Linked DNA regions of Rattus norvegicus. The protein of the gene in region 1 binds, or shares a complex with, the protein of each later gene. Links are inferred from orthologs where the notes say so. Each region holds a gene or a part of one and is shown in the gene's direction. Other genes may lie near its edges.

What was found.
Region 2: the proteins of Gpr161 (region 1) and Gnal are in contact, whole or in part, in a cryo-EM structure (PDB 8KH4), measured with the Homo sapiens proteins. The link is inferred for Rattus norvegicus from reciprocal best matches to the Homo sapiens genes GPR161 and GNAL. Residues at the interface, in NP_001254539.1 of Homo sapiens: Arg125, Ala128, Val129, Leu130, Pro132, Met133, Tyr135, Pro136, Met137, Ile139, Ile211, Val214, Ala215, Lys218, Ala219, Lys267, Ala268, Thr271, Trp327, Asn328, Lys329, Arg332; in NP_001135811.1 of Homo sapiens: Ala41, His43, Lys203, Val204, Phe206, Phe363, Cys366, Arg367, Asp368, Ile370, Gln371, Arg372, His374, Leu375, Gln377, Tyr378, Glu379, Leu380, Leu381.
Region 3: the proteins of Gpr161 (region 1) and Gnas are in contact, whole or in part, in a cryo-EM structure (PDB 8SMV), measured with the Homo sapiens proteins. The link is inferred for Rattus norvegicus from reciprocal best matches to the Homo sapiens genes GPR161 and GNAS. Residues at the interface, in NP_001254539.1 of Homo sapiens: Arg125, Ala128, Val129, Leu130, Pro132, Met133, Met137, Ile211, Val214, Ala215, Lys218, Ala219, Lys267, Ala268, Thr271, Ile272, Trp327; in NP_000507.1 of Homo sapiens: His41, Lys216, Val217, Phe219, Phe376, Cys379, Arg380, Asp381, Ile383, Gln384, Arg385, His387, Leu388, Tyr391, Glu392, Leu393, Leu394.

The regions. Positions count from the first base shown.
Region 1 is NC_086031.1:80,135,186-80,138,835, forward strand, and holds part of Gpr161 (G-protein coupled receptor 161), read left to right. Parts: intron 1-329; 5' UTR 330-374; coding exon 375-745; intron 746-3,650. UniProt on the Homo sapiens protein: Key negative regulator of Shh signaling, which promotes the processing of GLI3 into GLI3R during neural tube development.
Region 2 is NC_086036.1:63,017,700-63,021,349, forward strand, and holds part of Gnal (guanine nucleotide-binding protein G(olf) subunit alpha), read left to right. Parts: intron 1-665; coding exon 666-724; intron 725-1,091; coding exon 1,092-1,212; intron 1,213-3,650. UniProt on the Homo sapiens protein: Guanine nucleotide-binding protein (G protein) involved as transducer in olfactory signal transduction controlled by G protein-coupled receptors (GPCRs).
Region 3 is NC_086021.1:183,541,219-183,544,868, forward strand, and holds part of Gnas (GNAS), read left to right. Parts: intron 1-321; coding exon 322-394; intron 395-2,926; coding exon 2,927-2,971; intron 2,972-3,650. UniProt on the Homo sapiens protein: Guanine nucleotide-binding proteins (G proteins) function as transducers in numerous signaling pathways controlled by G protein-coupled receptors (GPCRs).

The DNA.
Region 1 (3,650 bases):
ACCAAAATCTCCCATCATGCCTCACATCCCTACTAATTTCCCCTGGTCCCCTCGATGGCATCCAGCTGAGTGCTAAAGCTTTGGCATGTGGGCCTTTGGGAGACATCTCAAAGCCAGGGTACCACAGGGAGTGAGATGGGTTTGGCGGTCAGTTCCAGAGTCAGCAAGCCATACACAAAAGTTGTAGAGGTTTCATGGGGGAAGACTGTCCAGGTTCCCATCAAGTCGGCCAATGGGAAGTACATAACAGTCCCTGCTAAGCCTCCACTCCCTCTTTCATAAAGTGTGAATGAGTCATTCCCACCTCTGGTCTCGCCTTCTTTCTGCAGTGGTCCCAGCATGCTCTGCTCACCGCATCCCGAGGCGCACTGACCATGAGCCTCAACTCCTCCCTCAGCTACAGGAAGGAGCTGAGCAACCTCACTGCCGCAGAGGGTGGCGAAGGGGGCGCTGTCTCCGAGTTCATCGCCATCATCATCATCACTGTCCTCGTCTGCCTGGGCAACCTGGTCATCGTGGTCACCTTGTACAAGAAATCCTACCTTCTCACCCTCAGCAACAAGTTCGTCTTCAGTCTGACCCTGTCCAACTTCCTGTTGTCCGTGCTGGTGCTGCCGTTCGTGGTGACCAGCTCCATACGGAGGGAATGGATCTTCGGTGTGGTCTGGTGCAACTTCTCTGCCCTTCTCTACCTGCTGATCAGCTCGGCCAGCATGCTGACCCTTGGCGTTATTGCCATCGATCGGTAAGTTTGCATCTGATTTGGAGAGAGCCGAAGTGATCTCTGGTCTACTGGCTTCTGATGGACTTGTTCCTGGGAAGGGCACTAGAAGGCTCCTCTTAATGAGTGAGTGAACTGCGTTCTGCCTCTTCTTCAGCTCCTTAGCCAGAGCCCTTCTTGTTTTATCTGTCTACATGTTGTGTGTAGTCAAGTGCTTCACGTGATGTTCCCGTGGGTGACAGATTGTATGTTTGAGTGCACGTACCACATAGCCCAGGTGTGCAGAATGTCTAACGTCTAAGGTTTATACCAACCCTCTGTAATGTCTTCTGCATAACAAAATCACCACGTGACAGGCTCAGAATGGTTTCCTTTTGTTATGTGATGCATGACGGTAACTTTATAGGAGAGTGGAATGTCAGAGTAGGGACTGAATCCCATCTTTAGACTCAGCCATTCCTCTTGGCCATGTGCTTGATGTGTCTTGCTTTGGTCTTTGCCCTATCTTGACTGGTGGAGCGCATATAAAAGCTCCCTTTATTCCTTTGTTCTGTGGAGATGGCTCAGGACCGGTTGGGGGAGCAGTGGGAAGGTATACAGCCCAGGGAGTAGTGATATGTGGAGAAGCCCAGCATACTTTTGTAGCCCGTGTTGATCCCACCTGTGGCATAACTGGGACAGAGGGAACAGACACCAGTGCCCACCAGTGGCCACACTGATCAGCTGCACCCCGGGTTCCGTGCTGTGCTGGCAGGTGTAGCTTTCAATCATATGCTTCACTTGTGATCCACAAGCACTGGAATTCTTGAAAACAGAGAATAGAGCCAAGGTCTGTGTGACTTCCTGGAAGTTGGGAAGGATCTTAATGGGGGACGCTAGGGACAATTCAGAGGGGGCCAATCAGGGATGTCATCACAGGCTGACAGAAGCCTCCAGACTCTTGGGAACATGGTTATTTGGGTTGGACTGGCTGCCCTGAACACAGCAACGCTGAACTCTAAGGCTGGATTCTTGTTTTCCCCATGGCTTTGTAGAGAATGTCAAATGAATGAGTCAAACAAACCAATTAGCTTCCCCACATGTAGTAAAACGGCATAAATCAAAAGAATGAAAGAAAACTCACAGTGTAGCCAGCCAGGGACAGCCACGGCATGTTTTCAGGGTATCTTCTCTAGCAGTACACTTTTTAGATGTTTACTTTTCGGATTTGTTTGTTTTGTACGTATGTTTTGCCTCCATGTATGTATGTGCGTCATGTGTGTGCATGGTGGCTGCCGAGGTCAACAGAAGGCATTGGATCTTCTGAAGCTAGAGTTAGGGGTAGTTGTGAACCACCAGTTGAGCACCACAAACCAAACCCAGGTCCTTTGCAAGAATGGCCAGCGTCCCCAACCACTGAGCAGTCTGTCCGGCTGCTCCATAGTGCATCTTTTTAAAAAGATTGTATTTTATTTTTAATTCTGTGCATACATATGCCATGCGTGCATGTGTGTGCAAGTGCAGGTGCTCAAAGAGGCCAGAAGAGGATGTTGGTGTCTCTGAATCTGGAGTTACAGGCGGTTGTGATCCACACAACACAGCTGCTGGAAACTGACCCCTGTGTCCCTTGCAGGAATGGCAAGCACAGAGCCATCTGCCCAGCCCAACTGTACCCTTTGTACAATGGGCTGGCATTCACATTCTGCTTTGTCATTTAGCACGCAATCATGAACATCACCTCTGTGCTATTAGTGGTCATGAGCTACTCTGTGATGGGCCATGACTGATTCCTCATTACTGGATTTAGGTGGTTTCACACAGCTCTTTGTAGCGATCACATGACCCTGTTCCATTTGCAGAACTGCTGTGTTGTCAGTAAAAGTAAAACACATTTCCAAGATACTTAGTGGAGAAAGATAAGGAGACTCTTCCAAAGGTAGACAAGTGTCCCAGCATCCTACTGAGATGTATAAGACAGAATAAGGGATTTGGAAGTTTGTTGGCAGTTGAGAGGAAACAGATACTGTCAAAACTTTATATTTTAAAAACTAATGGCTTTTGAACATCCATGTTCGGGCCCTGTGGAAGCAGACCAAGGCTGAGCAGCTTAGGTGTGGATGAACGTTGGTCCCCTGAGCAGTGCTGCACTCTGCACTGGGTCATAGTGGCAGACTGCACATGTAGCTCCAGGAAGATGCAAACTGCTCCCTTAAATCTGGGGTCAAGTTAAGCAAAGGTGAGAGTGACAGATCCTCAGACTATACCACCACAGTGTATGGACAGTTTACCTGTGCCAGTGTTAGGGGCATTATTGGCTGCTCTAAGGCCCAAGGCATGGTCTTGGGGAGTAAGCTACGGACACCAAACTGCCCACCAGAGGACATCTTGGCAGCACAGACTTAACAATACAGAACAGCACCTATGGATAGCTACAGAAGTCGCTGCTGCTGCTAGGTAGGGCAGTGAGTGCTTAGATAGAGAGGCATTTTGAGTGACATCCTAAAGAGCAAATAGGACTGCACAGGTTTGCAGGATGTGGGGAGCTCCCCTCTACTTAGCAGATAGGCTGTTTATTCAATTATTGACCATTTGTACTGGGAACACGTAGCTGAATGAGGTAGGAAATATGCTGTAAAATTAATATCGAAGGGGAGGTGAGGTTGGGATCATATAACTCTGGAGTGTTCCACTATGGAAACGATTTCAGTGTGCCATGGGTGCCATGAGAATGCAGAGGAAGAGACAAGACAAAATAAGATAGAAGTGCCAGGGCGTATGCCAAGCACGTAGCATCTGACAGCTAGAAACCCGGTGATAGGGTTGGGCGCAGACAGACTCACCCACTAGAGCCTCTGTCCTCACAGCCTGGCCCCATGGTCAGTCAGTGACGAAGGGATTTCCTTGTGATGAGGGAGAGTCACCAAGACATGGTTGTCTTGAAGTAAAGACT
Region 2 (3,650 bases), on another chromosome or scaffold:
CTAGGAAAGGGGGCATGGGCAGGAGGAAGGCCAGGGCCCGCCTGATGAGCCACGAGGACACTAAGAAAACTGCATAAACCGAGCCCGGGTCAAACAACTGGAGAGCCTCAGGGAGAGCAATGCCATCTGCCCGAGTGAAGGTGATAGGCACCTCCTGACAGGCACTGTTCAGAAGCGCCTGACAGATGAGAGGGCTGTGGGTATAGCTGGGTCAGGAGGAAGCCCTCCCACTTCCGCAGGACAGACAGTCTTCTGAGGCTGAGACAAGTGATCAGAAAGTCCTGCCCTAGCACAGACTTAGCATGCACTTGGTACAAGATGTGATATAAACTAGAAAGGACTGCATCTATTAGGCACCTACCATGTATCCCTAGACACTATTCCAGCCGTTTTTCTGCCATACTTTTGACTCCTACAACCACAATATAGAATGAAAAGAGGACAAGCAGAAGCTGGGAGAGGCAGCCGGACTTGTAGCTCACGACCAAGGGCCGGGACACAGGGGTTGCATCACGAACGACCATTCTGGCAATAAAGGAGAAGCATGAAAATATGTGCCCTTTGCCTCAGTTTCCCCAGATAACTGACATCTCTCAGGGCGAAAGCATGTGCCCTTGACCCCCACTTCCCCGGATAACTGGCGTCTCTCTGTCTCTCTTCCACAGCATGTTTGACGTTGGAGGCCAGAGGGATGAGAGAAGAAAATGGATCCAGTGTTTTAACGGTGATTCGCATGCTTTGTAGCTGCATGCTGGCTCCCGCCCCTGTGCCTAGCTGCATTTTAGTCAGACAAACTCTAATCCAACTGTGTGTAAATAATAGTTAAAAATAACCACGGTCTCCTTAAACACGAATCTCGTGCTCGCTTCGGCACCACATATACTAAAAAACACAAATTAAGCATCCCACATACCCATTATCTTTTTGGGTAGAGCCCTGGTCAACTGCGGCCATGCATACGGCCCATATTCTAAATGCATTCTAGATGCAATCCCCAAATGTCAGTGTCTGGGACCTGCGCAGTCATAACCCCAGCACAACTGACACTGTCCGTCTGAAGTGCTCCCCTTTCCCTCTCTACCCCACCGTAGATGTCACTGCCATCATCTATGTGGCAGCCTGCAGCAGCTACAACATGGTGATCCGGGAAGATAACAACACCAACAGACTCCGGGAGTCGCTGGACCTGTTTGAAAGCATCTGGAATAACAGGTAATGAATAAACTCAGACTCAACACTAGAGCACAGACCTTGGGTTAAAAGTATCTTCTGAAGACTGTTGCTTTGCTATTGTTGTCCTTAAAAAGTACCCACGTTAGCCAAGTGTGTCAGCACATACCTGAAACAGGAAGGCTAAATCAAAAGGATCAGAGTTCAAGGCCAGCCTGGGCTACAGAGCTAGACCTTGTAAACAAAAACGTGAAGCAGAGGAGACGGTTCACTGAGTAAACTGTATGCTTATGCAAGCACGAAGACTTGAATTTGGATCCCTAGCACCCAAAACCCAAACCTAACAAAACAAAAAATACTGAACATATCCATGAGTGCCCATAACCCAAAAAACAGGGAGGCAGAGACAAGCAGATTTCCAATCCAAAATGGCCAAGTTCAAGGAAGAGACCCTGTCTCAAAACTAAATGGAGAATGATTTTGGAAAATATCTGGATATCAGCCTCTGGCTTCCACAGATTCCCCCACAGGCATATGTACACACAGTAATAAATCCTGTCATTTATTACATGATGCTGTGAACAGACATCATGACCAAGGCAACTCTTTTTTTTTTTTAAGATTTATTTATTATAGATAAGTACACTGTAGCTGTCTTCAGACACACCAGAAGAGGGCATCAGATCTCATTACATATGGTTGTGAGACACCATGTGGTTGCTGGGATTTGAACTCAGGACCTCTGGAAGAGCAGGCAGTGCTCTCAACCACTGAGCCATCTCTCCAGCCCGACAAGGCAGCTCTTATATGGACAACATTCAATTGGGACTGGCTTACAAGTTCAGAAGTTCAGCCCATTATCATCAAGGAGGGAACAGGACAGCATCCAAGCAGGCATGGTGCAGGAGGAGCTGAGAGTTCTACATCTTCATCTGAAGGCTGCTAGGATACTGGCTTCTTGGCAGCTAGGATAAGAGTCTGAAAGCTCACACCCACAGTGACACACCTACTCCAACAGGATCACACCTTTTAACAGTGCCACTCCCTGGGCCGAGGATATACAAGCCATTGCATTCCACTCCCTGGCCCCATAGGGTTGTCCAAACACATGAGGCTATAGGGGTCATGACTAAACATAGCATAATACAAAATACATTTAGTCCAACTTCCAGAGTTCCCTTAGTCTGTAGCAGTCTCAACAATGTTAAAAGTCCAAAGTTCAAAATCTCATCTGAGATTCATCCAATCACTTACCTGTAATCCCCAAAGCCAGACAGGAAACCAGCTGGGCAAACTCCAAACCCTGCATCTCCAAGTCCGATGTCAAAGCAGTTTTCAGATCTCAACTCCTTTTTCGTCTTTGTGGACTGCAACAGTCTTCTTTCTCCTGGATTGGTTCCACTCCCTGTTAATAGCTTTCCTCAGCAGATAGCCCATGGCTCTGGCATCTCAAATATCTTGGGGTCTCCAAAGCAACTTTAATGTTACAGATTCTTGTTTCAATGTCTGGGATCCACACATGATCTTCAGGCCTCCTCCAAAGGGCTGGTGTCACTTCTCCAGCTCTGCCCTCTGTAGGACTCTAAGCCCAGGCTGATCCACTCCACTGCTGCTGCTGTTCTTGGTGATCATCCCATGGTCCTGACATCTCCCATACACTGGGGTCTTCTGCTGCAACTAGGCTTCACCATTAGCCTCTCATAGGCTCCCTTCTTGTGCTTAAGCTTCAACATCTTTATATGACACCTTTAGTCCAGAGCTGTCAGCTGCAAATGAGGCTGCACCTTCACCAATGGCCTTCCCTGGCCTCTCACAGTGCCAAGCCTCAGCTGCTCTTCATGACCCCTCCATGCTTTCTTTTTTTTTTTTTTTTTTCTTTTCTTTTCTTTTTTTTTTCTTTTCTTTTTTTTTTTTTTCGGAGCTGGGGACCGAACCCAGGGCCTTGCGCATGCTAGGCAAGCGCTCTACCACTGAGCTAAATCCCCAACCCCCCTCCATGCTTTCAAAACCAGCACCACCTGGGTGACTCTTACACATTACCAAGTACAGATGCATCCTGAGGTACAGCCGTGGCTATCTCTGGATATAGCTTCTTTGTGCTCTCAGAAAACACTTCTCGTTAGATTTCACTTCAGTGACGCTGGTCTCTTCTTAATCACCGCTAATTTCTTAGCTCCAGCTGACCAGCATCAATTGTCCCAGTGGCCCCTTCTATTCTTGACTCTAAAGCTAGAGCCACGTTGCTGAAGCTGCCGAGTTCTGCTGCTTGCTGGGGCTGGAGCATGGCCCCCTTGTTCTATTACATTATCACCAGCTTTCTGTTTTCCAACTCCTTCACTGCCTAAGCTTGCTGTCTTGGAACTTGCTCTGCAGACTGACTTTGAACTCAGAGATTTTCATCCCTGTCGCCTAAGCACTGGGATTAAAGGTGTGGTCCACCAGGCCTGGATTTAAGCTTTTCTTCACCTAGCATTTGCTCT
Region 3 (3,650 bases), on another chromosome or scaffold:
GTCATTCCTTCATCGCCTCATGAGTTTTAAAAAGCCCAAAGAGAAAACAAAACAACAACAACAAAACTCACAAGGAAAAAAAAAGCTATTTAAGAACAGCAGAGCACTTAATTCTTGCTTGTTACCCTATGGTGAGATATTTCAGGTAGACGCCATGTTGGACGTGTCTGTTGTTTTTTGCTGCGTCGTCATGTGAAGGAGGTTTGCAGTTGTGTCACTGTGTGTATGTTGTGTGCTGCTTCTGCTGCTTTCCAAGGCCATCATCCAGGTGATGTGTGACAAGCCTATTTCTTAACCCAAGCCCTCACTTTCCTTTCTCAGGTGCTGGAGAGTCTGGCAAAAGCACCATTGTGAAGCAGATGAGGATCCTACATGTTAATGGGTTTAACGGAGAGTAAGTGTCAAATCTGTGCAGGGCACTGAGCAGGACAGGCCGCACCTGGCCTGTAGGAGACAGGACTTTGGAAGGAGTGTGTACTAACCTCTAGAAAGCACAGCTGCTAATTGCTACTAATCATTTTTTTCTAATTTGCATATTAGACAGCCCAAGAAAGAGCTGATGGGTGCACCCCCACACCCTTCTCAACCTTTGGGGACAACACATAGGAATAAGAGTAAAAGCACCGGTGTCCACCCAAAGCGGCCCCTCGCGCTGGAAAATGGTGCCTGGTTGCAGAGGACAGTGAACAGCACTTGGCCGGGTGACAGCGTCTCTGAGGCCAGGTCCTCTGCCGCAGCCTCGTCTGCTGCAGTGCGGCTCCAACATGGCCGACGGGCCTTGGCCACCCCTTGGCCAGCCAGAGCTGGCCAACACAGGAGGTTCCCACCCACCACCCTGCAGGTTTCACTGGAGTCAACTGGTGTAGGGTTTTATACTCTCTCGGGGAAAATATCTTTTCAGTTACATCTTCACTTAAAAGTCGGAATCCACAACCCTTGCCGACAAGCTTCAAGCTCCCTGCTTCAGAATTAAAGAATTAACACGATAGGCAGATGCTTCTTTCTCTAATTAAAAAAAAAATCAGCACTCCTACCTGAACAGTTGAAAATGAGGTGTGAAAATGGTGGGAAGACAGGGACTTAGCTACTTCTGGCCAATCCGGGTGCTGTTTTGCCTTTGAAATGACCTTCCTGGTTTAAGACAATATGGCGGCGAGGCAATACCACAGTGACAGTAAAGGTTTTTCTTAAAACGAGACAGATAATGTGGCAAAGATGGGGTCCTGCCTTCCATGAAGAATGTGAACTGAGGAAATACTGAGGAAATAGTCAATAAATAGGGAGTTTGCCTTTTCGGTACCCATTGTTCTCGGTACTGATACAAGACAGCAAGGCTGAGGGACTTACCTAACGGGGACCAGCATCTGTCCCCTACCATGTATTAAGTGTTAGAGAAACAAATCGAACAGTACCTTTCAGGGTACTGACTCAAGTTCATTTTCATAGAAACTTCTAGAATTTGTTAGATCAACTAACCGGGTTTAAAAAAGAAAAAGATGACGTCACCCGTGCCACAGCTTTGGGCTCATGTGCTCCTTAAGTTGCAGCCCAAAACTCAAAGGTTAGTTAATATGCAGAAGGGGTTGGGGGCTAGCTCACTGACTTCAGGATTGAGTCAGTTACTGCTTTGTAACTGTAATCTATTAAATAATCCTGTCGCCTATGAGACACCAATTCTGAAATTACCGATTCCTGATCTATGCCTCTCTCAAAAAGTCTAAGCAACGAGATTGGCACCTGTCAGTCAACAAAAAGACCCCCCCCCCAGAGGTGCCCTGCCCTAGGTGTGAGGGACTCTTCAATATGAGGCTAGTTAAGCAAAAATAAACGTGGCCGTGCGCTGCAATCTATCTCTTCAAAAATGTCTGGAGAAAACGGGACAAGGCTAGTAGCGCTGTTTTTAAGAAGTGCAGCAGCCATTGTTTAGCCTGATGGAATCGGTGTCCTCCCTGAAGTTTAATTACTTCACAGATTTCCCTAAGTTCTTAACTCTTTTTTATATCCGTCCTCCCTGAGTGTTAGTGCGGTGGAGGGTTCTAAACCAGAACTTCTCATTTCTATTTTCTCCCTGAAAAGAGGAAGAAGCCTTCCTAGCTTGCCTTCTTTGTGGATCTCAGAGAAGTTAAATTTAGCCTGTGAAAGTGATATTTGGGACCTCCATGGGGGGCTGGATTCCTTATTTTGACCCCATACAATGACGGTTCTCTCACTGTGGTATAGCAGTAAGCTCGGGTCCATCTTGACGAGAAAGACTCAGCACCGTGCTCTGTTCTTGGACAGAGAACTATTAAATATGCCCTAACTGTCCATGGCCTGCCTACCACTACATTTTCCAAGAGTATAACATAATATTTATTTGACCTTCAGAAATACAGAGGGCAAAAGTAGATTTTTCCCAGCTCAGAGCTAACTTCCTGAAGTTTAATGCCAAGGGGGGAAAAATTAATATTGGTTGAGCTAATCGATCTCAAAGCTGAGTGTCACTGGCCCTGTACAAAGCCCCTACCACCACAGAAAGGTTAATTCATTTTGTACCAAGAAGTGAGGAATAGGAATGTCCCATCTGTGCTGCCATGGGCATGGATTGGACACAGAGAGGATTCTGACGTGCCCCACCCTCAGGAGTTAAGTCTGCCTCTGCTCCCTGGAGCTTGTGCATTTAGGGAAAGCAGAGGAAAACAATTACCCGTCCCTCCTGTCTCCAGCCTGAGTCTCCTGAGGGCCCTGCTAATGCAGGAAGGAAGGTATGGAGTCTCAGTAGACAGCCCCATTTAGCCAGAAAGTCGACCTAAGAGTGAACCGGGAGGATGGTACGCAGGACTGTCAGGTTTTCCTACCTGGCTGTTGGAGGTACAGAGACTGTGTGGGTTTTGTATGAAATTGCAGTGCCTTGCAGATAGGTGAGCTTTCAATCTCTCTTTAAAAGGGGCGGCGAAGAGGACCCGCAGGCTGCAAGGAGCAACAGCGATGGGTAGGCACATTCAAAACCAGAAAACTCCTAACCAAGCAGGGCAAACGAGAAGATCTTAGTGGGGAAACTGAGGACACAGACTGGGGACAAAGCAGAGATCACCTCAGGGCCATCAGCCATCTCTCTCGGTGTGCATTTGCAAATGACGTGTCAACAAGTAAAGTGCAAAACAGAAAATGTGTTTGGCTCAAAGACTAACTAGACACAGCTGGGGGAAAGTTGGCCATTTTAAGATTTTGAGAATTGATGCTTTCCCATATGATCTTTATTTCCCCCAGTTCTCCATTTAAACCAACGACTTGCCTTTCAAAACTACTAAATTCCGCCCATACGACGGTCAGTCTGACTTTAAATTTTCAGACCCATTTGGAAAAAAAAAATCTTAATTTACTTCCTCAATTAAAAAATATGCCTAACACTGTAGCCCTTAGGCAGCAGGCCGTTGATGACTAGCTGTCTTGATAACCTCTGGCCTCAGAAATTATTTTAAAAAAAAAATCTTTAACTGTTAATGCGAGGCACTTTACGTTAGCCAACGAACGAGAGCATTTGTGACGGCACCCCACTCATCCCCATTGTTTGTTATTTTGCTTTCTCATCCCCACAACCATCTCATGCCTGCACACACACGCACACGCATGCCAGGCATCCATCCAGCTCCATTTGCTCACGAGCATGC